4 linked regions of the Arabidopsis thaliana genome follow. The protein of the gene in region 4 interacts with the protein of the main gene of each other region in a pairwise test. Each region holds a gene or a part of one and is shown on either strand. Other genes may lie near its edges. The genes, in order: PFA-DSP2, AT3G09980, PP2-B14 and CW7.

Region 1 (7,597 bases), on a different chromosome or scaffold from region 4:
TGGAACGATCTCTTTTCTCATGTAAGTAAACAATGCCAAGTACAAGAGAAAAAAATCTGAATCCTTGCAACTTCAGTAATTACTAATTGTGTTTGTTTTGCTTCATATTTTCAGGTTTTTCGTGCTGTCAGGAGCATATTGAACGGTTTTGTAGCATTTTTTGCTGCCTGTAACAGACATCGGCTTAGGTATAAGTGTTTTCTTACACATGTTTTACAGTTTTCTATATGACCATTTCTGACATATATTTTTTGTGATTGATCTGGTTTCTGTTTGCAGTACATATAATCACATACAAGAGTTTATGGAGAGAGTACATGGACGAACCACGAGACCAGAATCTATAGACTCAAGACATGGCAAGTCTGTTAAGAACAATCAACGTACAGTAAGTTTTCTCTCAATGTTCTTCTCTTATGGGAATCAGTATTGTGTATTTGTGATTCTCATACTGGTTTTTGATCATTTTTCGCAGGGAGACGAAACGAGAAGGAAATTGCACCTTGCATAGAAGTCAAAACTTAAATTCTTTTGATTACTTTTTCTTGCCAGAGAATATGATAGGTTAGTGTATAGATAGATAGGTTTTACACCACGAAACATTGTCCCAACTCCCAACTCAGCCAAATGATGTATATAAGAAAGAAAGAAAACACACACTCACCACTCTTCTTGCAAATCTTCTAGTGGGTCTTCCTCTTCAGAATTGGTAAGTTTTCGATATAATAACAAAAAAAAAGAGAGAACATTTTTATGATTTTGTAAAGAATGTAATTATAACTTATGTATGGAAACGACTTTAGATAACAATGTGAGTTGGTTGATGAGGAAACCCAGTGAACAATTAACACACCAATGCACAATTGATACAATAGACATCCAAATTTTGTTTCACTTGCCAATGACATTTGGTAACCAAAATTAGAACTCGTTACTCGACTTTGATGTTTCTTCTAAACACCAAAAAATACCCTTTTAATTCTGATCAATTATTCACTATCACGGGATTGATCAGAAGAAGCTGAACAGACTGGTATTGTGACTCACGTTAACCTGATGTGGCCAGTGGCCTATCGGAAATGTTGAGAAGAATGAGTGGACTCGAGTTAACTCGGATGTGACTCATCAAGGAGATGTTTGGTCGTATATGTGTCATCGGTTTACCAAACCAGTTAGTCTTACTATTCAGTTTAGTATAGTGATTGCTTCACATTATTATCATGATGAGGATACTAATCCTGCAGTTGAATAAATTTCATATTAAACTAAACTGTTGTTTTATTTTGTTGCGTTAATTTATAAATTAATACATTATTAGATTACAAATGAATCAAAAGAAAAAGATATACAATATTCTTCTTCTTCCAATTATTATTGTTATTATTTGATTCAGAAAAAGAAAACAAAAACCAGAAGAATTTGATGATTCCTCAGGTAACTCATGATTTTTCTCCTCCTTTAATTTTGTTATTCAACTATGGAAAAAAGGGAATGACGGATTGGTCAAATCTTCTTTGATTGTCTCGTTTTTATTTTACCTATTGGAGCAAGAAAAAGACATTGGAGTGTGCTTCAAGCCTGATACATCGAATGACTCCAAGAACCTTTGATCCGAAACTCTAGCTTTAGCCGCTGCAAATCGCTTATACTCATCGAGTATCGATGTTATGCACCATTTCTGGAGTTTCCTCATGCACCCAACAAGACACCCGGTTCTGTGCTGCAATGATCATATATAAACCATTGTGTTGAGTCAATACAAAGAAAATGAAAATCATTTAAGGAGATTTATAGCTTTTGATATTTACTATTTTACATATACCTTGCCTCGTTTGCAATGAATCAAAAGTGGATGGTTCTTCTCATCTGAGGATTAACAAAGAAGACAGGATTAGAAGACTTGTATATATAACCAAAACATATGATTTTCTCTTAACTTTGTTTTAGGGCTTCTATGATTTTTACCGAGAAGGACTTTGAGTGCTTCACGGATTTTCTGATCTAGGATATCTACAAATGGCTCCTGCAAAAATGAGGATCACACTATCAGTGCCTTGGTAAGTCTTTAGTAACGCACAAGCCAGCAAAAAATATATCCAAATTATGATGAGATGTGTCGGCTATATTCATTCTTAGAGACCGAAATTGATCAGAAAACTAGATTGGTTTTGGCTGTTCCCTAGAGTACTGTAAAAGACCTGTGGAGTATATTCTATCTTCCTATTTTTAAAAGTTAAGCACAACAAAAAATAAACACAAGATCAAAGAGGGTCCATCAAAAGCAGCCAATAATGAAAATGATTTCATATGAAGACTAGAGACTAGAGAGTTGTCACACCCAACATAAAGAATCTTAGCCAATAAATAATATATGAATGTGGAATATCCAATACCCTTATAGTCTATTATAAGAAAAGAAAAAAAGCCACTTTACTTCATGTTTAGTCTAAAATCAAAAATTAACAAACTACATATCATATATACATGAAACAGAATTGACAACACAAGGCTTAGTTTGTGTGAGAGAGAGAATGATCACTACCACAATAGCAAATCAGCACAATTATATTTACTTTCAGTCTTCTCTTTCGAATATAAAGATGTTCTAAATCAAATCAAACTAGCCGCCCCATCACAAGTTGTACAAACTTGTTCAACTAAAAGTAAAATATGTTTGCTTGGCTTCTTATCTCTACTTTAATATCTAAAAAGTTACAGATTATACACTTGGAGATCAAGATAACTAGTTCACGACTCTAGTTTTTGGTTATTCCATGAAACGAAAAGTCATTTTATCCAAACAAGGGCCAATAAAACATAAGCAACAATAGGTAGGTAGGTATTTACACATCAGTAACTGACATTAAACTTAGCCATCTATCACTTTCACACTTAATTCCAGCTTGATTTATGTACTATACCTACCAGTTGATATGTGAATACTCTTACCATTAATACATCGACAAGTCACTATCCACAAAGTTTTCACCACCAAAAGTTAAGATACATAATATACCATTCATGCATCAAAGTGCACACAGAACTAATATGAACCAAGAAAACAGTATCAACATACACACAAAGAAAAGTAAAACTTTTGAGTAGTGGATCACTGACAATACTTGTATGCAAGAAATATTTTTGACGCAGCCCATTATCTAAAATATTATATATACACAGTAAGAGGACCAAGTGGTCTATTAGTTGAGGAAGGGCAAGCAAACAAACAGTGGGACCATAGAGTCAATGGTAACGGACAGAGCCAAGAAAAGCATCCTTCAATAAAGCATTAAAGAATGGTGTACACTTTTCTTGGGCGGTTCATATATAAAAAATATGGATAACTAGTCTATATCATAACATGCATAAGCAAATTACTACTCCTAAGGAAACATGAAACTAGAGATACACATGCATAATTAAAGAACAGTTAGGCAACATTAAGCAATTCAAAACTAGAACTCCAAATAGTATTCAGATTAATACCGAAGTTTTTGAATTTCCATTTGTATAAAAATCCTCTTTCTGATGCTTAGAACTCCAAATATGCAACCAAACCTCGTTCTCTAATCCGGGAAGACACTGCAAATTCAAGATATCCAAGAGATGTGAACTTTTAATTCTAATAATTCCTCCTAAAAAGTTGTGACAACAACTTCAAACCACAAAATCAGAATTACAGAGAACAAGGCAGTGATTGAGAAATGGATTTTTATAAACCAGAGGCCAAAAAAATTTAGCAAAATGGCACACACCTTGGACTTAGAGCCTTCAATGCCAAACTGAAAAAGACTAATTCCATTGGATTTGAGGAACTGCATGTTGTTCTCAGGATATGGCTCTGGACACAAAGATCTTCACACATTTCCCATACACAAACAAACCACAAAAACTTGATGTCAGAAGGAAAAAAAAACACACACAAAAACCTAAATCAACAAGTCCAACGTTTCCAATATAAGAGTCAATTGATCATAGTAGCTTTATACATGATTGAGCGAAGGCCAAGAGTCTTGATGAAGGAGAAGTTCGCCGAGTCCGGGAATCCAGACCGGAATATACCATTATCGACCATCGAAAAGTTCAACGGTGGAATTAGGTTAAGTTCATCACCGGGAACTTCTAGCAGTGCTGCAGTAGCAGCCGGCGGCGGCTGAGACACGTTGTTCCGGTCAACTTTAGCTACCTCGATGGTATGGAAAAGCTCACCACCGTCTTGCTTCTCCTCCTCCATAGTCCTAAACTGGTTCATGCTCATCGTCTTCTCAATCAGTTTCATTCTCTAGCTAAGAAAGAATCTAATGAAACTTATATTTGTTGGAGTGTAGGAATCTGAAGAGATCTTATCTTGTTTTTGTTTCTTGAAAGGTTATGGAGAAGTAATGGAGATGGTCGTTATGAATCGACGACCTTGCTTTATATAGACACGCCATGGTAGAGAGAGAAACCTATGTTGTCGCTGTTGGACTTTTAGAAGAGAAAGAACATAAAAAAAGAAAAAGAACATTTGGAGGAGATGAACGAGACTTGCGTTTTCAATCAACTTTTTTAAATTAAATTAATGCAACAATCTTTCTTTGTTTTCGTCAGAATATATAATGCACAATCTAAATTCGATTTTGTCGAAAATGACAATATAATAAAAATGACTCAGAGTGAAAGTGAAAATACGGCTTTATTAAATTGTAGGAATGCCATGGTGGGGGGTGGGATACACAAGAAGCTTATTGAGATACCACAAATATTTTCCACCCCAAAAGGAAAAATATTCAATTGGTGACAAAAATAAACTACTATAGAAGTTTTTATTTTAGAGCAATTATCTTACATATCGTGTTAATAAGATATATCTATATGATATGTGATTTATTACAATATCTATTGTTATAGTTAATTGTGTTGGTAAATACCGACAAAAAGCTAATATTGGTATATAATTTTATATATATATATATGTATATTAGAATTTAACTAGTCAACAAAATCAAATTGTTGTTTCTCGTTGTAGTAATTCCATCAACCGATCGAACAATTACTATAGATTTGTAATTTGTAAATCGATCGCTAAAAATTTAATGGGATTATTATAGATGTTCTATAGCAGTCCCGTGTTATAAACTATGCTATACTCCATATATGAAATTAGGAACGCTAACGCTTTCTCAAATTCTCTATATATTAATTGAGATATATTTTCAAAAAAGACTTATCTTCATGTATGATTAACAAAAATGTTATGTTCAGTTGTTCACATAACTCCTCAAACCATTTAAGCAACTAATGTTCTCCTACTATTTTTAGTAGTCCATCAATATATATTGTGAAAAACAAGAGTCAGGACTCAAGAGACATATAAAAGATTGTATGCCTGTACGGGCCTCTCATGAGCTCCGAACCAATACACATGCTGCAAAGTGTTCGACAAAAAAAATTTAGTTTTTTTTTTTCCGTCTATGTCTATATAACTGTTTTTTGAAAATGTAACGAGATTTTATGAAAAGAAAATACTAAAATAAACTAATGGAGAAATTGAAAAGGTACATTCTATGGAATATGCTTCAGATTAGGAAAGGTTTTGGGTCCCGAGCTGAGCTGGGCTCCACACCGTAAAGAGCTTCCGTATTAAGACTTAAGAATGTACAGTAAAACCCTAATTTTGTTTCATTGTTACTATTTTTTTTTACAAATCTTGGGAATATTTTTTTTTAACCGTACCAAGCAATTTTAGAGTTTTGATCTATAGACTGTTCCAACTTCCAACCAATATTAAAAATAGGTTCATACTTCTCTTTCGAAACAGAATTGAACGAGCATAAAAGGTTTTATCAACAAACAGAATTGAACGAGAACTGAAACTAATAACATCGATATAATACTCAGCAAATAAAAATGAATTTTGTAATGACACTTGAGCTAAACAAATGTTTGGGAACTAATGGCTAATTTTACCATTCCTTGCTAAGAATATTTTGAAAACTAACATTATTTATTGGTAAAATCAAAGATTGATCGATATAATTGTCAAAAAACAATTATCCTTATTTGGTAATCATTTGTACCGTTGATCTCGGTCTATCTCTCGTTCTCTCAATATTATCCCACCTCATATTTGATACCATCATTAGAATTTATATTGCCTTGTCTTGTTGATAATTAAAACTTCAATATTGGATCTCTTTACTTGATTCCATGACTAGTTTAATCAAGGAAAATTGAGTTCATGTATATTCTTATATACATGCTTAAAATTTGTTGTAATGTTGTTAACACCATGTCGTTACACTTGAGTAATGTTATTAGTAGATAGTGGATATTGTTCTTACACCCATTAAACTTACCATATGTCAGATACTTTATTAACGCATTTTCAACTTCGTTTAACGATTGCTTCAATATAAATTTAAAATATATAAATTTATCTGAATCATCACATGATTGCTAAAACTCAAACTACTTGTAAAAAGCAGTTTAAATACTATTTTATGAACCGTCCTTAATCATATAATTAACAGAAGCTAATTAATTAATGTCGAGCTACGCATACTTTAAACTTTCTACTTATTGGAAAACAACTTGGATAGTGAATGTCAGAATGTATACATAACTAGTAATTACCAACTCGATTACTAATTTGGTCAAATGAAAAGAGTTTTGGGTAAAAGAATATTATTATAAGTTTTGAATTATTGTTCCACTACTTAAGTGGCTTAACATAAGTAAGTGGGAATTTGATGAGAAACGATTCCTATCTCTCCAATTATTTTTCGGTTCTCAAGTTGGACACTGTGGAAGAAGTGGAGATGAGAAGCCGATCCAATCATTCCCACCTCTCTTCAAACCTAAAGGACAACAGACTAAAAATCATATCGTATAAAATATATTCTGTGTCTAAATATATTCTTTGTCTCCGCCCATGTGAATCGATAACGAATTTATTTCTATTTATAGTGAAAGTTTGTATTTATGGCTTTTTTCTGTACATTATTAGGAAATATAGTTCTATTTAACATGAAAACCAACGTTCATCTAATTTTGCAATTTATGATTAAAATATATTTATTTGATTATTTAAGTAATATTTTAACACGCAAACTAAAATCCACATTATATTAGCTATGAACAGTTTATATAGTTTTGATAATCACTAAACAGCAATGCCGAGTTTAGTGATTTTGAGAGTATCTGGTTGTCTTTATTATACTGTATGATTTTGTGATTATACCACAAAACAAAAGTCGTAGTAAAAGTGTTGGCTCCAAGTCATCCACACCGACTTTTTTTTTTCTTTTTTTATCAATCATCCATTTACCATTTATGATTAATCTCGGTGTTTCTTGGTATATAAAAGTTAAAAATTCATAGGACTCGTCGTGAGAATAAAATAATTAGTAGTGTTATTACTAATTGTTGTACTAATATATCTATACTTGACGTAAGTTTAGTGACGGAAAAATATAAAGAATACATCACATTTAGATTTCATAGATATATGCTTGAGTGACTCCGCCTATATTATATACTATACGTATTATAAACTTATAATACGATGTGAACCTGAAAGAAAATATATGTGGCTAACGTGAAACGATATGATATT
Region 2 (6,713 bases), on a different chromosome or scaffold from region 4:
CCTACGAAACCATTGTTGTCGCTGTATGTATATACATTTGATTCCTTACAATATTCTAAGTACATAAATGTTATGGTAATAAATTGATGGGTCCTTTTAGTCAAAAATAATAATATTGCTTGGGCAGACTCTTGTTTAATAGGGAGTGTATACATTTAAGGTTCGAATGATCGCAGAACAATGGGAAACGTTTTCAACTTTTTATTTCTGAAATTTTTTGCGTCATAAAGTACAAAGATTCCGTAATAATTACCATTAACTATAATATATTCGTAATAAAATTATCTGGCATGGACATTGGAGAGGGAGACATACATACGACATATCATTGATTTAATGGAAAATATGAGGTTTGATGAGAGACAGCAAATCATTTTTCATGAGACCATTAAATCCTAAGTAAGTGCTGATGCTGGCAATTAGGTATAAAGTCGATATCCTCTTCCTCAATCACGTTCATAATCATCACAATTAAGAGTTATATTATTAAGAGAATCAATAAAATTTTGTGCAAAATTTCTTAATAGAAAGTAAAGTTTAAACGGTGAAGCATGGAAGACGTATTCGATTGGTGGCAAACGCTTTCAACACACTATTCGATTTAAGTTTTGTTTCTTATTTGAACATTAAAAACTAACCATTTTGCGATCATTTAACTTACAAAAAATCTGGTTTAAGTTGTTAGATAAACACATCATCAGTTACACTTATTCCGTTGTAGATATTCAGAATGTTACATAATTTTAATATAATTTACTTAGAAAACAAGGACAAGTTGGGATCCATAAAAGAATAATTAAAGAAAAAGTATGGGCTCCAAATGATAATCTGGTGCACGCGATAACACAAACACCGGTTTAGTGGGTCCTTTGTGGCAGAGAAGCACACGTCGAGTAAGGAAGGATCACCCTCTTTCTATGTCTTTGATCGGCTCAATCCCCACCGTACATTCTAATCTCTACGATTTGGCTTTGCTTCGAACAAGTTTATTCCTTAAGGAAGTTAACGGACCTTAGCTCAGTTTGATCACAAATAAAAAAAATTCAGGTCGAGCTCAATCAACCAAACCGTATAATACTAACTCACACTTGAAATCTGTTTTTGATTATTAGACTACATACAAGACATTAGAGACTTGTAAAACAATATATTGGTTTTATGTCGATTAGTAGGTAATCTATCTTTCTAACCCTAGCTAATTAAAACAACAAAACCTTAGCTTGCCAAAGCTCATCCATTAATTGAAAAAAGATCTACTAAGTAAGTATAGTTTTGTATATACTAATTTGTGGGACAAACAAAATTTCAAAATGGCTAATGAGGACAAGATTTATACCCCACCATTAAAACAATGTGACTAGTTATACATCGAGTTGATATGATGGCTAGCTTAGAGGAATAATTTATAGTATACTACATTGAAATAAAAGTAAATTCCATTAAGAGAGAAAAGGAAAAAAAAAAAGTGAAGAAAAAAAAGAAATATTCTTGCTTCGAAGGCCCGTAGTTGAAGCCGTTGGCTGAGTGGGCTACTGCTCTTTACCTTCGTTTTTACGTTTCTCCTCTCTCTTTTTTCTATTGATAACTTTCTTTTATCGAAAGAGAATAACAAATTCATTAGCAAAACGCTTACTTGAGTACCTCTAAATTTACCAAAGTAAATTAAGTTTGACCACTTTTATCGGATACACGTCGAAAAACCTATAAGATTTACCTCTCTTATTATTATTTTTCTGTTGGATCACAATTAGTATAATACTTTAAAATTTATACTAGTAAAGAATATTGGGATATATATTCTCATAGTATATTTATTATTAGAAGATCATTTTATTATTCTCATTTTCTCAATTTTCTTCAATATAAGTTATATAACCGTGGACCATAGTTTCTTTCTTTGTCAACAATTATGTAATGTGGTTCTAATAAATGAAAAATAACTCAATAGTGTGTATGCTCAGCAATGGAATACCTAATTCAAGTCATTAAAGAGAGAGAAAAAAAAATCACGACGATTGGTAAATGTTAATGGACCAATGGAAAACCAGAATTAAATTACCGGTTAAGTTTGGTTCGGAATTGACGGTTTAGACGGGACAGCTGAGTTGTTAACGAGCTGTCACCGGATTCTACGGGTCACCCGTTTTGCTTCCTTCATCAGATAATAAAAAGATCCAACGGTTACAATAATCAGATTCTCTTCCCTTTATTCCTACTTTTTATTTTTGATTTTTTCTTTAAAACCCTCACTGTATCTTTTTATCGGTTGTTGGTGGCAGTTAGGTAATTTCACCTAATAACCTTTTTTTTTTTGCCTGTTATCTCTTTTTAATATACGTTTCAATATATTTTAATTATTATTAAAAAGTTCCCGTTATACGAATAAAATAGCATTTAATATATTTTTGTTTCTGGAAAATGTGTAATTATCTTTATATAAATGTTCATATCAGAGCACTATTTCTGGGTTTCAAAAAGAAAGCTCAGTTAGCTATTTTCTCTACCACAGAAGAATCTAGACCCAGAGAGAGAGAGAGAGAGAGAGAGAGAGATCAGTAACGAGAGAGTCAAAGAGAGGAGATTTCAGTGAAGATGAAGGAGATGCAGGCAATAGAGACGTCGCAGCCGACGACGGTGGCTCCGGCGGTGCATAGCCGACAATTGGGAGCTCAGTTGTCGGGAAGTATGAGTTTCAGCAGCCAAATGTCGAAGGAAGATGAGGAGATGTCTAGAACTGCGTTATCTGCGTTTAGAGCGAAAGAAGAAGAGATCGAGAAGAAGAAGATGGAGATTAGGGAAAGGGTTCAAGCTCAGCTTGGTCGTGTCGAAGAAGAGACTAAGCGTCTTGCTTTGATCCGTGAGGTATGTATCTATATTGGTTATTTCATATATAAAAAAAAGATTGTTTTTTTTTTGGAGAATTGTGCTTCAATTTTGGTTTTTGTTATGGAAATTTTTTGGATTGGGATGTGAAATTGAACATTTGGGGTTTTTATATTGTATAGAATGTGGATTTAATTCATGTTTAAGGGGAAATTGTAGGACCCAACTGTTGGAAATTTCAAGATCTGACAATTGCATTGAACAAATTCTTTTATAATTTTCCTTTGGTTTTTGTGTGGTTTATGCCATTTGGGGAGAAAATTTTGGGGCTTTTGTGTTTGTTTTAGGATTTTAAATGATCAATAGCAAGTAAACCTGGATTTGCTAAAAATAAGCTATTTGGATTAAGTTTTTTGTGAAAAGAACCATTTGCTTCTTCTGGGTGATGTTAAAGTTTATGAATCTGGTCTTAGTCTCTGGTTTTAGTACTTTTTCCCCTCAATTTATGGGCAGAACAGTGAAAGTTTCTACATTTATAGCACTACTTGATAGAGATTAGCTCTGTGGATCAAAGCTCTTTCCTTTCTATGAAAAGAACAATTTGCTTTTCCTGGGTGATGTTATGTTGATGACTAAGAAGCTCAGTGGTTAAACTGCATTTCAGGAACTTGAAGGATTAGCTGATCCCATGAGGAAAGAAGTTGCTATGGTTAGGAAGAAGATTGATTCTGTCAACAAAGAATTAAAGCCATTGGGCCATACAGTTCAGAAAAAGGTAAGGCTAAAACATAATCAAATCCATTGACCTGTGTTTAAAATATGTTTTGTTGAGGATTCAGATGCTAAGCTGGTTTATTTACGCAACTTGCAGGAACGAGAGTACAAAGAAGCTCTTGAAGCATTCAACGAAAAGAACAGGGAGAAGGTGCAGCTAATCACCAGGCTAATGGAGGTTAGTCAACAAATGCTCAAGTCTCTTTTCGTTGAGTTTGAATGATTGAGTTAACTGGTCTAGTTATTGTACTGCTTCTCTCTGATTTTTGGTTGTGTTGTCCTTTATTTTTTCACATTACCCTTGCTTGTGTGGATAAACACATTAAGCTAATTATTGTCTTGTAGCTCTGTTCTGAGAGACATGCATCAAACACCGATAGTTTTAGGCATATTTGTGATCTTGCGGATTCAGTGTTTAGTAGATTTTGATGTTGAGTTCTTGGACCGGTCTGTGTGTTTGCTTAAAGCTATGTGTGAGTCATCTCCATAGTTAGCGGAATCAGTTCCTTCAAACTCTATCTAAGTGTCTTCTTTTTGTATGAGTTACATCGATCGTTCTTGCCATTTTCTAACATAATTTGTCTGTAAACTGAACATATTCATCAAACCAGTCCACTCTGATCTGTGTCGAATATATTCATTTTGTTATGTGTTCTTAACTTGAATTGCGTTCTTGACTTAACGGTTTCCGATTCGAATGATTCGCAGTTGGTGGGAGAAAGCGAAAAGATGAGAATGAAGAAGCTGGAAGAGCTAAGCAAGAACATAGATTCTATACACTGACTTTGAATCCAAGACAGTACAAGAACTTCTTGGGCCAGAGATCATTCTCTGAGTGTTTTAACTCTACGTTTAGGTTTGGTGGTGGTGAATGTAATTTATATTTTATAATCGTCGTGTGTTATATTACTACTACAATTATTATCTTTGTTAGGGGTTCTTGGAGAATTTATAAGTGTAATGTGGTTTTTTTAGGAAGTAACTTCAAAAAATACTCATCAAGACAGGTTTGTAACTAAACGCTTCTTCTTCTTTTCTCTGAACTATCTTTCTCTCTTTATTGTCCTTTCAATTGATTTTTTACTTATCTCTCTTTAAAACTATTGTTCTGACATTTGTAGCATAATGTACAAAATGTTAGGTATTAAGAAAAGTGGAAATTTGTTTATATCATGTGCGCTGGGAAAGCTATAAAGATTAATAGAACATTGTGTAACTTGTGCGATCGATCGGTAGGTTAAGTTAAAAAAGATGGCATCACGAGATCAGATGTGATCTATATGTCGACCTTTTCCGAATTTGGTTTTATTCCAAAATGACCGTTAGAGAAAAATGATTGTTTCATGAGGAAGGAAATTCATAAAAATAATATCCAGAAGGCAAACCTTTATTTGTTTATCATTAAATATGTCCTCAACATTTTGACATGTAACCATTTATCTGATATTAATATCAAATATAAATCATATGATTAATGAGAAAATTATATAAACCATACTATAATTATAAACCAGACGTTTTGTTCATTATTTGATGGAGGGTGCAATAATAAGACATTAATGATCAAATAATCAATGATGATGTGGCTATTGCAATGGGAGACATAGATATCATCGTAAAAGAAACAAAAAAAATTCCTTTATTGTTTTGTGCAGCCTTTATTTTCATTTGATTAGCATCTCCTGATATAATGATTATTCATGTGGCATAAAATTCCAAATCCACTCCAAATATGTATCCCATGTTTTATGGTATTATATATTATTATTATTTGTTTTTTTAATTTTTTTGAGACTTGTAAACAAAATTTGATTATATATTTTAAAATCGCATGCTTAAATTAAAGACTCATGTTGCTTTGATGAGGTATGCAACATCACTCACTCTTTATCATCATCGTCCACCACATTTTTTCTAAGAATAATATAGTAGACTATATAGTATTAATACTACAATTTGTCTTAATAATATTTTTTGTAGTATTAATACTACAAGTTGAAAAATAATTTTTTTTTAATACTACTAGCTGTTTCTATTAAGAAAAACACTTTTGCTTCTCTCTTATGGAATGCGGAATAGACATATGTTAGCTCATGAAATATGTGAAATTTAAAAACGTTGATATAAGACGGAGTTGTACTAAAAAGATGACTTATCAAAAGATAATGTCAAGATGGACTTTATTGAAAGAGACAAATGTCTTACATGATTAAAATGAAAGGTGCATATTTTGGTCTCTACTTATCTTTCGAGATCTTTAGAAGTTACATTTATCTGGTCAAACAATAGGCAACACTACTTACCAATCTTTACCAACTAACCAAAGCCAATCACAAGCGACTCCTGCAAACATCCCTCCACAAATATATAACACCAACAAGTTTCCTAGTGCATTTTGCTCCGGTGCCTAAAACCAGTTTTCATCATTTCTAAACTAATATCGTCTTCACGAAAAAGTTAAAATAAATAAATAAAGGGAGAATTTGAAATACCAATAAATCATATGGGGCTGATGTTATGACACAAACAGTCAAATATCCATTGCTTAATCCCAAAACGGACATCAAGAAAATCATCCAGCCTTGGCTTCCATATATGCCTGTGATGTTGAAAGCTGGAATCAACAAGAGACGTCCCAATGACGTTATCAAGAGACATTTCCTCGACTTCATCTTCAACTTCTTGACCATGGGAACGTATCTCCCAACCAAATCCGACACGTTGAACACTGCTATCAACACTAGTGCATACCTGTTTTAAACCGTTTTTTCTTAGCTATCAATTTTCCAAAAATAGTCATGAGTAAATTAGCATTTTGGTCTTACCAGTCGCCTAAACTGTATTTTCCCGTATCCTCCGATAGAAATCCAGGGAAAATGCTAAACGTCAGTAGATACACTAAGAACAAGGTAACCGCAAGATCTGAGTACAGTAACATCAAGTCTCCTTTGTTTAGCCGATGATCATATCTTAAGGCTTCCTCGTCCTGCATTCAAATATAGGTGTTTTAACCATCATACGTAAGAAAATCCAGTTTAGTTCTACTAAATGTAGGGATGAGACAATCCGGTTTACGATTAAGTTTCTTTTCATTTTTTGGTTTGAAATTTTGAATA
Region 3 (6,207 bases), 800 kb from region 4:
ATTACATAATATGAATAGGACTTATATTTATTGATTTTTTTTATTGCTATTTTTCTAATCCTTTCTTGACAATTTTGCTAATTACTCTTAATGTCTTAGTATCAACATTTATGAGAAATTCATTTCATGTTGAAAGAAACTGACATACATTGGTGATTGCCTTAAAGTTACAGAACAGTCAGTCATCTGCCCTATTTGACAAATTGTTTTGACTTTTCTTTGTTATTTCCGAAGGCAAACAAGGACGTTTAAACGCGTAGGTGTTTACATGTTATTTATTAGACCAAAAGATACCTCGTGTGTTTGTTGAGTTTTCGTTTTTACTTACAAAAAAGAGAAAGTGTGATCTATATAAAATGAAGAATATATCATATGTAGTCAACAAATCATGAATGCCAAACACTTAATTGATTTATTATATCCTCATCTACTGACCATAAGAATATATCATAGATTCATAGTTTGATACTATTTGAATAACGAACTTTTGCATCGTAAATGTTTCGAAAACTTGTTACCAACAATTTAACCAAAAACTTCGCACTACAAGAAAAAGAACACTTTCCGAAGTTAATATAATACAACACTTGCAAATATAATCGTATAACATGTAAACATATTAAAACTAGCTTTTCTGAGATTACTAACTTCAACATATTCATATGCATTATTTTCTGTCCTCAGTTAATATACATACAACATATTGGGTTCTCTCCATTGATGATTAAGCAAAATTTTCAAAAACATTATCAAAACTATCAAGTTTGTTTTTGGTCCATTGATTTCGTTGCTAGAAAACACGAACACTGACAAGGATATCTTTAGTTCAAGTCCATTTCGGAAGAGAGAATATAAGAGCTATATTCGAGCCCACAAAAATTAGGACCCTATTCCAAATTTAGCGATTATGACAAAAGAAAATTATTAGATATATGTTCCAGAGTTGGATACAAGAAATCTTTTTACTAAACTAAGAATAAGAGACTACAAGTTGTTGTTTTTTTTTTTTTTTGAATAGCTAACTAAATTACAAATTTTTGATATTTCTATATCATTAATTTTTTTCCTTATCACACTACTTGGAGTGAAAATGACAGATAACCTCCTAAGATGATTCAAGTTTGGCTGGATTGAAAGCTAAATGGAAGTACTTTCTACATCATGCTAATAAATTTTGTTCCCATTGGTTCAAATAAAAATTAAAGAAATAAATATATATATATATATATATATATATATATATATATATTTCTAATATCCAAAGTCTCATTCAATCGCATTCGATAAATTTTATACAAAAGACAATGCAAGGCTAATTAAGGGTGTGGAATTGAATATTTTAAGAATCCCTATCATCAACTTACCAAAAAAAAAGAATCCCTATCATCAACCATCACTATTACAAATATATAATTATATTGAACTAAAAAACTTCAAGAAGATTCATATGAAGATATTAAGATTTAAAAAACCGGAAAAAGATAGATGAAGATGAACCACACACAATAATTTTACTCCAAATATAAACAAAAATATATTAATTATGCAATATAATATATATATATACACATATATATTTATAATATTATATTATTTATATCGTTTAGATCGATAAATCCATATCATCAATTCTACTATGGAAGATAGTGTGATTTGCTCGAGCCGAACTCCTATGAAATGAAACTATATATAATAAATATATATATTAGTAACATTTGAGTTCACAGTATTGAATTTTCTTTCTTGTTGGACGGAAATCCAGATACATATATTGGCTTCACCATACCCTATTTAACATACTATAGTATTCTTGGTTATTTCCAAAAAGTGAAGATATTCTTGGTTACAGTTAATTGAACTAGTGTTGACAAATCATATGCTATTGACATTTGACCACGAATTAGCAACCGGTGGGCGCGTATTGGATAAACTAGCCCCTCCTTTTGGAAGTTTGACTCCTTGACCGTACACAACTTTTGTAACTGTATTTTATCCTAAGCAACACTTAATCATTTACTTGACTTTCTCATGAACCCACACGTGTAAAATAGCATACTCTATTTATTCCATAAAGAATTGTTGTAGATTTTTCACACATTACTTTTTTTTTAATTAATTCTATCATATATTATAGAAAAAGTTTCACTCAAATTTATGTATTTTTAGCTATCTATTAAAGAAATGAAACAACATTATAATATCCCTTACGTTTTATTGAAAAATATAAATCAATAAAAGCAAAAATAATTATTTAAAAATTATAGATTTAGAAAACAAGGAAATTTTTATATATATAGAAGTTATGTATGATCTATTTTTTTTTTTTTAGTAATTAAGTGCTGATTTGGGCTTTTACTATCCTACTAAACCACTTGATAAATGTAGCCGTCGAGTAGTTCACTAACCTGATTTTCTAATGGGTTTAAGGTATAATACCATTTCGACTAGCCAAATGAGAGATTTAGTAAACTTCGCGGTTGAGGAGAATCAATCCCTTACTCATACCTAGATGCTGACTCCTCCACATGTAGAAACCACTAAACTATTTCAGGTGATTTACTAAGAAATTTGGAACATGTCCTTCATAACTTGTAATTTGGAATAATTTGAGGGTATTCACTTACATTATGAACACACTTTTTCTCTGACATATCTTCTCTAACAGACAAATAATGGCAAATGGCATGAGCATCTAATATATAACTACATAATTCTCTACGTAAATATAACTCCAACTTGTATTATTATGTAACCGAAGATTACGTTAATAATAAAAAATTTAAATTGTTAATCAGTTTCGTGACACCCACTAAGATTGTACATTATTTTCAACGAGCCAAATAATTGAAACTTGAAAACTAAAACTTCTACTCTTTTCAACGTACACGATAATAAATGAACAAATGCAACCAATTTAGTAAAACACATTCACACAACCCCTGAGTTCCTCTCAATTTCATTTAACAATCCATAGCTTCCGTAGTCATCTTGATTATGTTTTAGGCCTCACTTCAATACCATCAATCAAAATGCCACCTTTTAGTTGATATCCTTTCACCTCTGTAAGAGTCATATTGACTTCATCATCTTCTCCTTCTCGTGTCTCAAACTCTCCTAACTCAATCTCCATCCATCCGTCATCTCTACATTTCGGCTCTCTCCTTTTCCCGTCCCCGCCAACCGCTTCCACAGTCATCGCCATTCGCTCTTCTCGGTTCCCGTAAAATAGCCGCTTCATTTGTTGTTTTTTCTCATCCAAGCAACATAGATAAGTTGCACTCTTACTAATTTGACCGTTTTTAGATTTAATCGAAGTCTCTGCCGGAACTAGGTCAAGTCCGTAGGCGCCTTTTGTTACTTTCACTATGAGATATGCTCCGTATCTTGTGTTTGCTGATAAAACTCTGGTTTGGATTTTACCCTCGATTTCTAAACGATCGGTTATTATAAGTTCAGCTGACTCCGAGAATCTGAAATTTTTAGAAATATATATATATATATATATATATATATATATATATATATCTATTGTTAATCATGGTAATAATTAAAAATTGTAAACATTTTCAGTAAATGTACACAAAGCATATTTAGATGTTTTAAGAAAAGAAAGAAAAACAACTGACCTAGAATCTGAGACATTGCTCCAAGACCAGTAAGATGCATGGTCACTATGTGTTATGGAAATATCTCTTGCTGATAAAACGTAGGAAATTTTTCCGGAAAATTTATTGATCTTGAACAGCTGAAATTGCATCATACACGGAAGATATTATTAGTTCAAGTAAATAAGAAAGATATCCATTTTTTTGTTCAAATTTAACTCATAGAAATCGAACCTTTCGAGCATTATCGATGAGAAGAGAGTCACATAAACATCGATAAATTTCTTTTTTGGAAGAAATATTCCAATGATGATCAGTAGATTGAGAGATGAGGCTTTTGTAATCCGATGGTAGAAACTTTTCCCATACGAAATCAGAGTCTCCGGCTAACCGGAAAACCGAAGAGACCTCTGACGACGAGAATGCATCCGCCGGAGATGTGAAGGCAAGGATGTTGGCTATGCATGCTTCTGGTAACATCATCATCTTCTTCTTCTTTTGCCGAGTAAAAACTTAATATATCTTTAATTGTTAGTATTATGAAACAGAAAGGTACTGAGTTCTTAGAATTTGAAGAATTTCGTTTTGTGAGTAAATATGATGCTTTGATTTTTTGTAGCTATGATAGATGAAGTATGCTTGGAGATAGAGATGGTGAGAATATATAGTGATGCTTGGGCATATTTCTGTTGACCATTTTAGACCAATGGTCAAATATTATGGATTTATATATTATTTATAGCTAGCTTCGAAGTAAAAGTGTTTGGTCGTTGGCCAAAAGTAAAAGATTGGCCTTCCAAAAGAGAAAGTTAACGCGGAAGAGCAAATAGTGTTGTCCTTCACTCATATTTCAAAAAGTCTCTAAACGATTTATTAAACGAAAAATTAACAAGATTATCAACGTACATATTGTTTTTTGCTAAAATATTTGTAAGTTGATAATTTGGTAAATTTTTCGTTTAATTAAATGTTTAAAGATTCTTTGAAAATAAGAACACGTTTATAGATTATTATTTTTACATACAGAAAACGTATAGAGACTTATGAGTAGTGTGACTAATTTTTGTTTTTTCGGTTTAAAAGTCTGTCTTTGAAAGCAATATCTTTTTTTCGGTTCAGTATTTCGAATCTCCGTTTAATTTTTAATCAGTTCAAAAGCAAACAAATTGTTTTAAATTAATGCTTAAGCCTTTGAGGACGATGTACCGTTAGATATACGACGAATATTGATTCTCATCCACTAGGAGTCTAGGACCACTATGATTTAATTTGTATATTTTGTGTAGTAATTTTAAAGACTTGAATGGATGGTATGAGGATGGAGTGGTGATACTTTAATCAGTAAAAAAGATCACCACATTAGATATATAACTTTGAGAGTAAAGCTTTCAAAATTGCTTAGGCGCTGGTATTTGCTGCAATTTTCTTTATAAATGTGCAATGAAGAAACTATAAGAGCAAGGAAAACTCTGAACAAGCGAAACAACAACAAGTACATTGAGTCCTATTGGCCAAGAGGCAAAAAGGTTGGTATTATTTAGCTAAAAAGTCATTTAGTGGCCAAGAGGCAAAAGGGTTGGTGACTTGTGTTATTTATTTTTGAATGCCTAAATTTGGGTCAAATTTTGGATGTTGATTAGGTTCGACACCAAACATCGAGTCCTTTGACATTGAAAGATCCTGTTTCTTTCTTTAAGAATTATTTATTGACTAGAAGTCGCTAATCATTAACATTGTTACAATATTAATTGACTTTACCTTTAAAACCACTAGTTGACTTTTCCAACATCTCTACTATAGCCGCCAAAACTCATGGACCATAGTAAACTAATATTAGGAGTTCATTATTTAGTTCTGAATCTAGTGGTAAGAAATCATTCGGTAGTTTCGATTGTTATAACATTTGTACAAAAAATATATGGTACAATAATGAATTAAATATACAACAAATATATACGAAACAATGTCTTCTTGACTTAAGAGAAAAGAGTAGAAGATTTCTCTATATTCAAGTATGTATTTGCAATTTTATAAATAAAAAAAAACGGAACTACTTGAGCTTATTTACCGTGGAAAGCCAACCGGTTTAACCGATTTACCAAACCGAACTCCTTCAGGTTAGCCAATTTCAAACAAATTCGTTTCAGAAAATTGCTCATATGAAAAAGCAGACCAAAACATATCCACCATCCTAAGATTCATCTACAAGTGAAAGACAAGGTAATAAAGGAACAAAATATGAAAATGTGGGTGGGTTATGTTACTTGGATAGCAACTGATAATTAGCCTCACTCAACCATATTGCTGTTGTCTTCTTCTTTTAGAAACTGCCTTAGGAGTTCGATTGTTTTCCGGTAGAGGTTCATATCGATCCCGTCCACATTTCTTCCTGTTCGAGCCTGCAAGATCGCCTAAAGAAATGGATATACTATGCATCAATTACCCGATTGATTAGCTATCAAAGACACTATTATGAGTTTGAAACTAAGTTCATCTTGAAATGGTTAGTTGGTTACTAACATATACTCATTGAACATTTACAACTTTGCCCGATTTCATGAAGAGAGAATGAAATCGATTTTATATGGACAAGTTTACTATC
Region 4 (9,628 bases):
TTAATAGTTTTTTGTAAAAATATAAACTCGTTCTTCGTAAAAACGTTTAACAAAAACAGATGGTCGCTTGGGTCACCGTCCATCTGCCCACCTTATTTGGGCCAGACTTGTATATAAGGAGAGAGTGAGCGGTCATTGCTTATACAAGAAATTATTGTATTGTACGAGTAGAGACTAAGAAACTGTTGGGTACAAACCAAAGGTCTCACATCGGAAATTTAGAAAAAGAGTTTTTAATATATAAGCTAAGTCCAATTCCAACTAGTATGAGGCCTTTTGGGAAGGAAGCCAATAACAAATCCTTGCGGGCTTGAGCATATAAGCCCAAAGAAGACAATATCATACTAAATAAGAGTTGGAATGAGCTTAGAGAGCCCATTAAAAACTACTTCTATATTGCTAGTTAAATAAAAGAAAACATCATCTAGTAATTATGTATGCATCGTCTATTTTTGTATGTTTTATTGTATTATGCAACATCTATATGTGTATCCTCGAACTAGGAATAAACTGAATCCTCAAAAATGGTTTATCGGGCCTAGGTACAATTAGGGGAGACCCCCTATTTCTAAGCGAAAGGCCTATCATCATGAGAAGAAGAGATCAAGCTCGGCCTACTAGAAGGATTACTTTGAATATACGAAAAAATTGTAGAATATATCCGGGAGATAAAAAAGGAAGATCTTGAAGTAAAGATATGGAAAGAGGATACATTCCACGACCTAGAAGGACGAGATCCACAATGGAACACTCGGGAACCTTAGGAAAGTACTTACAAGGAAGAACTTTTTTTTTTTTTTTGTCAAACACAAGGAAAAACCCTAACTTGAGTTTAACGGAAGAATAATATCTTTGTATTTGCGTGCTTGTGTTCTTGGAATCAAAAAAGAAAAATATTTTGCATCCGTGTTGTTTCATTTTTTATTCCTCTGGTTATCTAAGATGTTAAATTTAATCCGTACAATTTGGCGTCGTCTGTGTGGAACGCTACACAAAAGTTCCCTCAGAATCTACCACTAAGCTAAGACTAAGGCCAATCAAATACGAGAGAAAGATGAAAAGACAACTGTCGATCGACAATGGTAACGCTGCCAACCTTCCCAGATTAATAATTCTTAATGTGGAACTAGAAAAAAATACAACACCTAAACAAAATAAACTAAAACCGGCGGACAAAATGAAAGTTTCATAAAATTTGTCGTAGAAAGATGAGTTTTTTCTGGAATCTAAACTATATGGAAGGGAAACTAAAGACGGTATAAATACAAAGCAAAAGTTATCAAACCAAGATCAAAGGAGGCTGAAACCTTTAACTAAGAAAAAAGCAAACATGTTTAAACCCTAAGAAAAACCATAGACCAAAAAAGCAAATAAACTTCTTCTTCTATTGCACATGTGATGAGATTTACCAAGAATGTCCACTACCAACCCAAAAATAACATCAATCACCTCCTTTCGCAATAAGAGTCGATTTCTCTAAACAAGAATAAATAACTTCATAACCCAGCAAGCAAAACCACTAAAAAAACGTCAAACACACATATGACATACTCATTCGTGTACATTTTTTCTTTTCTTATGAAGATATGTCAAACAGAAATTATTTTACAGCAATGAAGATATGTCATTTCAGGTAACTGATATGGTAATACGGAAAAATATCCTAGTAATATTTGGTCAGCAAAATTGGTTTTGCCATAACCGGAAAGATTCCAAAACAATCGTCACTTTAAAATCAAACCAACCGAACATCGAAAAGATTCGTCTGTTGTTGTCTTCTTCTTCTTCAACTTGTTCTTTGTTTCTCTTTCGCCTCTTGAGTTCCTCACTTCTTGGTTCTACCTTCATTCATGTCTCTATCCAAATCTATCTGGTAACTCAAAATCATCACTTCTTCTACTCAACAATTTCACAATCCCATCCCCAATTTTACAATCCCTAGATCTCCCTCCCTCTTCAATTCGCTGTAGTTTTCATGGACCTTGTTCGATTGAGAGACATAGGTTCAATTTCACCTCAGAGAAGAAGGAAATGGCTGATTCTATTAGCGGTTTTCGGTGTTTCGGGTTACGGAGTTTACAGGGTTTACAATTCTCAATACATCGCTAAGAAGACGAAGCGTCTTATGAAACTCTTCTCAGGCATTGTTTCATTCGCCGAAATGGTCATCGATTCCGCGGAGACGATAAGTATCGTTTCTCGAGATTTGAAAGAGTTTCTCGAATCAAATTCCCACGAAATCCCTAATAGCTTGAAACAGCTATCGAAAATCACCAAATCAAAAGAGTTCACTGATTCTCTAGCTAGGGTTTCTGAAGCTGTAGCGATTGGTGTTTTCCGTGGGTATAATTCCGATCCAAACGTCGAAAAAGAATCGAATTTGAGTGTAGTTGATAGAGTTTTCTCAGAGGAAGGAGCTGGTTTTGTTTCTGTTGTTGTTGGTAGTTTTGCTAAGAATCTTGTTCTTGGATTTTACTCTGGTGAGATTGAGATTGGTAGTGATGATTCTTTAAAACCTAGATGGATGAATTTGCTTAGTGATGATAAGTGTAGAGAGCTTTTAGCAGATTGTATTGAGAGATTCACTAGCTCAGCTGTATCGGTGTATATCGATAAAACGGTTGGTGTTAATACTTATGATCAGATATTCGCTGGTTTGACGAATCCGAAACATCGAGATAGTGCTCGAGATGTTCTTGTTTCGGTTTGTAATGGAGCTCTTGAGACGTTCATGAGAACTTCTCATGATGTCTTCACATCTTCAGGAGAGAAAACCGATTCCTCCTTGAGGAAGTCGGAGAATCGAGAAAACGGATGGGCAGAGGCGCTTTCGACTACTTTAGCAGTGCCGAGTAATAGGAAGTTCATGTTTGATGTTACGGGAAGAGTGACGCTAGAGACGATGAGATCAATTCTTGAGTTTGTAATCTTGAAAACGTCACAAAGTTTTAAGAGGAGTTTGGATGTGATTCATGAAGAAGTTACAGAGAGAGGACGTCAAGTAGTTGGATACGTTGGTGCCAAATCTTCAGTGATAATCACTGTTTGTCTTGCGGTTTACTTTCACATCTTTAACCGCTTTGTTCGAGGCCCTCCGGTTTGTTTAAGCCAGCAATTCTAGTTAATCGGATCGATCTATTAGCTTGTTAGAGTTGTTAGGGACATTAGATCTTCAGCCTTCCATATTCTTATTGGTAAGTTGGAGCTGAATAGCGTAGTAGAGTCTTAGCAGTGTTATGTACCCACATATTCATTATTGTTTATTTATAGAGGATTCTTGAGATAATCTCTGCATCTATGCTACCATTTCCAGTCAAACCATATAATGTATTCGAATGGATGTTGCCGGCGGAGCGGACTAGGCAACTCTATTTCTTGGGGCGGATTTATCCGCATCAAATTTATCTTTATGTAAGAGCCGTATGTAGTAAAATATTTTTAATTTTTTCGGGCATATTAAGACGGACTATAATTCATGAATGGTAAATAAAAAATAATCTACTCCACAAACGGATTTATCCGCTAACAACCATGAAAGAGAAAAAAGATTTAATTGTCACTGTAGCAAATCGGCAGTTATTGAGGTTTCCCCGCTCCGATTGACGCAACACGCCAAGATTTTGCCAACGCTAAAGCAAATCAGATCGAAGATTTGTGCTCTCTTCTATCTCTCACTCGCATCGAATTCAGCAAAAATTAAAATTGAAGAACGAGTCAAAGATAGAGAGAGAAAAACCCTATTCGATCACGAGATCGTAATCAACGTTTTTAGCAGAATCATCGGAGGGTAGAAAAAATGCTCAACGATGGCGAAGTAACTCCTTCTAGGTAAACAAGTCAGATTCTTTTGTTGTTCTATGTTTGATCTCGTGCTTAGTTCCAGTCACTGCTCAAATTGAAATGAGATAGTTTTCTATTTGATGAATTTTGTTATTCCACCATGAAATTGCTTAATTCGAATACTAAGATTTCGTAGTAATTCAGCATTTATTTGATTCGATCTTGCTTAAATTGATTTTGTTGTCTGCTTCATGTTTTTTCAGACATGAGATTCTGAGTATGGTGAAGAAGCACTCAAAGTCATTAGGAAAGACGTCTCTTGATGAGCAAGATGCGTCTGATGTAGAAATGGACTCTAATTTCTGGCATGGTGTGTTTGATGTGTACTTTGTTCGTTGCATGGAGTCGAGGAGGCGACAAGACGATGATCTTCTGTTTTTTGTCAGGAAATTGGTATGTAAAGCTTGGACCTTTTTCTCTCAGTCGAAAACTTAGAACTTTGTTATCATCCTTCTTGTTAATGTTGTTGAGTGTTTTGTTGCTTTTGCCAGAGCTGTAAGTCATATGGTTTGACTGAAAATGAGGATGCACCAGCTCCTTACTTTGTACGCAGGTGGGCACCTAAGGTAAAAAACTGTACGAAATAATACAGATACCTAGTTAGATCTCACTACATGAGGTTTGGTTTTGACATGTAACATTTCAACTGCGATGTAAAAATTGTATATTAACAAGGTCTTAGATTGCAACTCCCCTGAAGGTGATGGAAATATTAATTTTACTTCTTTTCGGGTGAGGGATTAAAGTAAGCTAGAGTACTACGTGCTTATTGTAAAGGATTGTCTTTTCTGGCCTACATGCTAAAGCTTTTCACGATCCATCATATCTTATTTAGACCATGGGACAGAGACACTTCGAGTAACCATTTATTTGTTGTGTTGCACCTTGTATGTATTGTCTACAAACATATGATAATGCATTTCTTTCTTACTTGTAAAGCAGTTAGATGAGCTGCTTGGTGAAAGTCTGGCTGAAGTTGATTGGAGGAAATCATTTTATTTGAACATGATTGCCCACACATCGTTCACTGTTACTGTTGCGATTTGCAGGTAACCGTTTCAGTCAGATTGTGATTAGCGGCATCCTGTACTAATTTCATGTTGTCTAATTTACAGCAGTTGTCAATTCTTGTTCTGTTATTGCTAATATTACTATCCTTCTTTCCTGTTTGGGGTTCAAACTCATCTTATTGCATCAATCATTACTTCAGTCTAGCTATTTATTAGGTTGGAATCTCAGATACCATCTTCTTAGTTTCAGTGATTAGGCCTTGAGTCATTTTTATGACATGTTCTCTGGTCTATATACTACTTATCATATGACTTTTTGTCTTTCCATTTGACTGCATCATGGTAACTTTGTTTGAACTACTTGTGTTTTTAGTAATGAGGCCCTTAAGACGTACCAAGGAAGTAAAGACACAAAACTATCTCCTATATACAAGGTTAGAGATCCTAAGAGTTTTGGATAATATTACTCTTGACTTTTCAACTCTTCTATAATCTTTTCATATGAAAAAGAAACTGAAGCCAAAGAGTAGTTATATACTCTGCTGTTCAAAATATATCAGTGCAGCTTTGTTCTAATCATCAACCTATTAAGAAAAGAGTAAGGAAACGGAATATGAATTCAGTTTTGTTTTCATAAGGAGAGGACTTTTCACATGAGTCTTGGACCAAGCATATGGATATTTCTTTGGTTTCATTTTCTGTAAGTCAATAGTAATCATGTTCTCTAATCTGACATTCATATTGTGCAGGTTGTAAAAACTGTATATGCATCACCTAGTCGTGTTAATTTTCATCTGGACTCAAAGAAGGCAAGTATAGTCGCTTTTCTCATACCAATGTTTGTCCTTTTGGAATTTGTGTTTGATGTTTCCATTGTTGTTTACCTAGGAAGTGGAAACAACACCTGCCTACCCAGAAATTTGTTTTGCCGTAGATGATTTTGACTCAACCTTTGATGCTGTGGTAACAAATTTTCTTCTCCCTTTTTGTTGTATTGTCCTTCCAACTGTTATATTATGTAGTCATTTCGTTCAAAGAAACTCTAAACATGAATGTCAAAGGAATTATGACATTTTGTTCATAATGAAATCGGCTCTGGAAGAATAGTTTTTAGTTGAGGAAATATGCATGAACTCCCCTTTGTCACTAGGGTGAAGTTACGTGCATTCTTAGTTTCTCCTTAACTGGATAGTAAAATCTTTTGTAGGATACGTTTGTTGGCTTTTGGTACAGGACTGGAGGATCCAGATAATATTATTTCAACTACCTCTTGCGGTGCTTTAACATCCTCTCCTTATTTGAGTTTAGTACCTGCTATTTATTATCTTCTTCAGAGGATTGGCCTGTCTTCTTCTTTAGTTTTGCTTAGGCGTAGAGGAGTTTGGCTTTATGATTCCTATAAATAACTTAAGTCGTATGGTTAGGTTTCATGCATGGAAGTTGTTATACTGACCATAGTTTTTTTCCAACCTTGTTCATTGGCTTTGTCATTGATGTTTTCAGGTTCTGACAGATAAAGATCATTGCTATTGCGTACTACTTAATTCTCACGATGGGGCAGCCTTTCCAAGTGCAACTGTTAAAGATTCGAGTGATTCTAATACGAATGCTGACCCTAGAACTGTGAAAGATCCTAAGGTCTAGTTTTTTCCCACCTATGCTTCACTATTTTCAGCAGTTGCTGCCAATCATCTATCAATTATTCATTTGCCACCTGCTATGAGTTTCAAATAGATTCCTTAATTTGTGGTTAATGCTTGAAAATATCTTGTAACCATGTCATACAGAGGAATATGTCGGTAGTTTCACTGATGCTTGCAACGGTCGATCTTAAACAAATTAACTAAAGTATTGTTTGTGATTTTTGTAAAGATGATTTAACTTCAAGCTCAATGGTTTTCAAAAGGCCTATGGACACATTACATGGTCGTGACTTTCTAATGAGAAAGAAATTGACATGCTGGTGCTTTTGGTTGCAGGTTACTCTGTTTTCTGGGTTTGTCAGCTATCAGATGGTTCGAGAAGCCTATGAAGGTCACTTTACAGTTTCTTTTCTATTTCTTATTCAGTTTTAGAACCTAGTTCAATTCTCCAGCAACTTTTGTAGTTATGGTTTACTTGCCTTAGTCTTCTAGTACTTAGCACTATCATTGTCGATCTCGGTCTTTCATATTTCTCCCAAAATATTTGATGGAAAGTATATATTAAGGGTCCATGATAGTACGGAACTTGGTCTCGAGCTTGACTCCACTATAGCACACAGAATTCATTAGTGGTTATTCATGTCAGGGAAACATGCAGTCTTAATATTCATGCCTTTACTCATTTACTCAAAAAGTAAAGTCGAAATTTTTGGAAGTAGTATGGTTCGTTTAGAGATCAAGGAGGTGTGAATATGAAACGGTACCCAACCTGACAACCTCAAGATGGCTGGACTACAAAATTAACTTTTGTAGACATGGAATTTTGAGATATTAAGAGCTAAAAGACCTAAAGGAACCTATTGCTTGTTTCCTTGTCTATATAGGCTGAGATCGCTTTCGTTGATTTGGGCTAATTAATATTTTCACGCTTTATGTTTTTTCATCTAATAACTTTTATTACAGGGGGGAGGAATCGGTTTGGAAGTCTCCTATCTCTCGGTCATATTACAGGAAAAGCAGACAGACTTTATATGAGAGGCCCAGGAGGACGTGGAGAAGTTGAAGTAGCTGTTTCTGGCGTTGTAGGTACTTTTCATTTCTTATGCTTGAATGGCTCTTTATTTTCCTGTTAGTGTTTTGTTTCCCTATTTTCTCGAGTGTTACAGTGCAGTTAGTAATATTCCATGGAAGATAAAAAAAAAAAAGTAAAAACATAGAGAATGCCCTAGCCAACAATTGTCTTAGGTCGGATTGTCTTAATAGCAGCAATATTTAAGAAGTACAATCGCCAAAATTTAAGAGTAGGAGACTTGTTGAAATGTATATTGAAGACGTAGTATGGTTTAAAGGATGATTGTATAGAATTGCTTTTCTCAGATCAGAGCCAAGTAGTTTTAGGGCCTGTTTCACCTATGTCTTCAAAGAAGAGCATCGATCTCGGATCCATTTTCCGTAAAGCAGCCTCTGTTGCATCTGTCGCAGCTAAACATGCAATAGCAGCTGCTACTGCCTCTTATGATGAAGACGAGATGTTCCCTCTTAAATGCTGCTTAATGTCCATTTCATTACCATGGGACACTATTGCTCATGATCTTTTATTCAAGGTAACAAATGATTTCTCTTTAGCCACACCGGTCGTCAACAATAGACACTAATAGATCTTTTCGATATTGCTGATCGATTCCACTAATCGTCTTTATTTAGGCAACTCCACCAGTCAACATGGAGTAGCACACTCTGGAATGAAGCGTAGGAAACAGAAGTTTGTGTGTTTTGTCTAAATGTTTTTTTTTTTTGTACTTTGATTGAATATTCCTTTTGTGATGTTACTCGACTATGTGGTTTACCACAACCACTGTTATTACCTCAAGGAATAAATGAAAGTAAAGTTGTGAATTTGCAATCATCAAGTCTATATGTTTTGGCTACTCTTCTTGTTTAGTATAATGTGGACTCGCTCAGCCTATACTTTGACAAACAGAATGAATTTCGGTTAGTTAATCAAGGTCCGGTTATTTATATAAAACTTAAGTTCGGTTCGGATCGATAAATCTTTGATTCAGTTTGGTTCGGTTTTTAGGTCGATCCCTATGAGATACAGATGTCTTGCATAGAAAGTATAGAAGATATGGTATTTAAACATGTGAAATAAAACAGCTTTTTGCCATCTTTTGTTGGACTTTACTTGAGAATGTGGAATGCTAAAGAATAAAAAGAAATTAGGGTAGACAAATAAGGAGGAAGCACATGAATCCAACTCTTGGTGGTAGACATTTCTTATTAGATGACAAAACTCTGTTTTAGGTTAAACTAAGGTGTATAGCTTTCTAAGAAAAGGAATTGTGTTAAAATATAGATCGGTTGTTAGACATTTCCTAATTAGATGACAAAACTCTGTATCTGAGGTTAAACTAATGCTTCTATTTTAATAACAAAAAGGAATTATGTTAATATATAGAGAGTCGGTTATAGAAGTTGTGAAAATGTGAATGCATGTTTTAGTCCACTTACAAAAAGCCACAAAAAGTCACAAACAGTGGACTTTGGATTTTCTTGAAACGTGATTACAAAGGTCAAAATATAAGAATAGTATGTTCTTTAACATCTTTTGCCCTGGAAATAATTGTAGGCAAAAAAAAAATGACCCATTATCTAAATTTTTAATTTAACAAAAAAATAAAGTAAAATAGGCAAGATTGGTTTTATACCCCAATGGAGAAATATTTCAATATGTCACAGTATTATAAATTTTAACGGATAAATTTTCTTTCAAAACATGTAAAGATTTACGAAAATACGTACGAATATATTTACCCTACTTAATTAAAAAAAAAATGATTCAAAATTATAATGATACTATAAAGAGAATGCAGCTGTAGTTTCACTTGTATTGTTTACTTTATCTTACTAAAAAGATAAGAAAATCCAAACACATAATAAATAAACTAAGACGTAATATGCTTTTTGTTAGATTCTTCGCCATTAAGCTAAGCTCTCATCTTCTTCCTCTTGTGTCAAGACCTACACACCATTTTCTCCCCTAAGTCTTAACTTAATAAGTTGTGTAGAAACTTAAAAAAAATCTTTTATGTATAGAGTTTTATCTGATATTTTTTTTGTCAATTACATGTACTT

What was found.
Region 1: the proteins of CW7 (region 4) and PFA-DSP2 interact in a two-hybrid assay, tested with the Arabidopsis thaliana proteins (one large-scale study listed by BioGRID).
Region 2: the proteins of CW7 (region 4) and AT3G09980 interact in a two-hybrid assay, tested with the Arabidopsis thaliana proteins (one large-scale study listed by BioGRID).
Region 3: the proteins of CW7 (region 4) and PP2-B14 interact in a two-hybrid assay, tested with the Arabidopsis thaliana proteins (one large-scale study listed by BioGRID).

The regions. Positions count from the first base shown.
Region 1 is NC_003071.7:13,984,658-13,992,254, reverse strand, and holds PFA-DSP2 (Phosphotyrosine protein phosphatases superfamily protein), read right to left. Parts: upstream 4,587-7,597; 5' UTR 4,280-4,586; coding exon 3,990-4,279; intron 3,856-3,989; coding exon 3,756-3,855; intron 3,583-3,755; coding exon 3,487-3,582; intron 2,024-3,486; coding exon 1,966-2,023; intron 1,867-1,965; coding exon 1,823-1,866; intron 1,721-1,822; coding exon 1,535-1,720; 3' UTR 1,261-1,534; downstream 1-1,260. Other genes in the region: AT2G32970 (G1/S-specific cyclin-E protein), read left to right, coding at 1-21, 115-188, 280-388, 476-511.
Region 2 is NC_003074.8:3,066,766-3,073,478, forward strand, and holds AT3G09980 (ankyrin repeat 30A-like protein (DUF662)), read left to right. Parts: upstream 1-2,324; 5' UTR 2,325-2,592; coding exon 2,593-2,862; intron 2,863-3,487; coding exon 3,488-3,598; intron 3,599-3,694; coding exon 3,695-3,775; intron 3,776-4,305; coding exon 4,306-4,380; 3' UTR 4,381-4,766; downstream 4,767-6,713. Other genes in the region: AT3G09990 (Nucleoside transporter family protein), read right to left, coding at 5,897-6,004, 6,090-6,348, 6,423-6,583.
Region 3 is NC_003070.9:21,058,754-21,064,960, forward strand, and holds PP2-B14 (phloem protein 2-B14), read right to left. Parts: upstream 4,295-6,207; 5' UTR 4,092-4,294; coding exon 3,840-4,091; intron 3,746-3,839; coding exon 3,627-3,745; intron 3,471-3,626; coding exon 2,993-3,470; 3' UTR 2,769-2,992; downstream 1-2,768. Other genes in the region: MDO1 (telomere-capping, CST complex subunit), read right to left, coding at 5,894-6,016. UniProt on the Arabidopsis thaliana protein: Component of SCF(VBF) E3 ubiquitin ligase complexes, which mediate the ubiquitination and subsequent proteasomal degradation of target proteins such as VIP1 and Agrobacterium virE2, after their implication in T-DNA translocation to the host nucleus (can functionally replace Agrobacterium VirF).
Region 4 is NC_003070.9:21,857,793-21,867,420, forward strand, and holds CW7 (CW7), read left to right. Parts: upstream 1-3,489; 5' UTR 3,490-3,796; coding exon 3,797-3,828; intron 3,829-4,043; coding exon 4,044-4,233; intron 4,234-4,331; coding exon 4,332-4,406; intron 4,407-4,782; coding exon 4,783-4,889; intron 4,890-5,223; coding exon 5,224-5,284; intron 5,285-5,599; coding exon 5,600-5,659; coding exon of another isoform or gene 5,660-5,663; intron 5,664-5,738; coding exon 5,739-5,813; intron 5,814-6,353; coding exon 6,354-6,488; intron 6,489-6,829; coding exon 6,830-6,884; intron 6,885-7,456; coding exon 7,457-7,579; coding exon of another isoform or gene 7,580-7,626; exon of another isoform or gene 7,627-7,870; coding exon 7,871-8,148; 3' UTR 8,149-8,197; coding exon of another isoform or gene 8,198-8,224; 3' UTR 8,225-8,418; downstream 8,419-9,628. Other genes in the region: CF9 (Carbohydrate-binding protein), read left to right, coding at 1,976-3,121.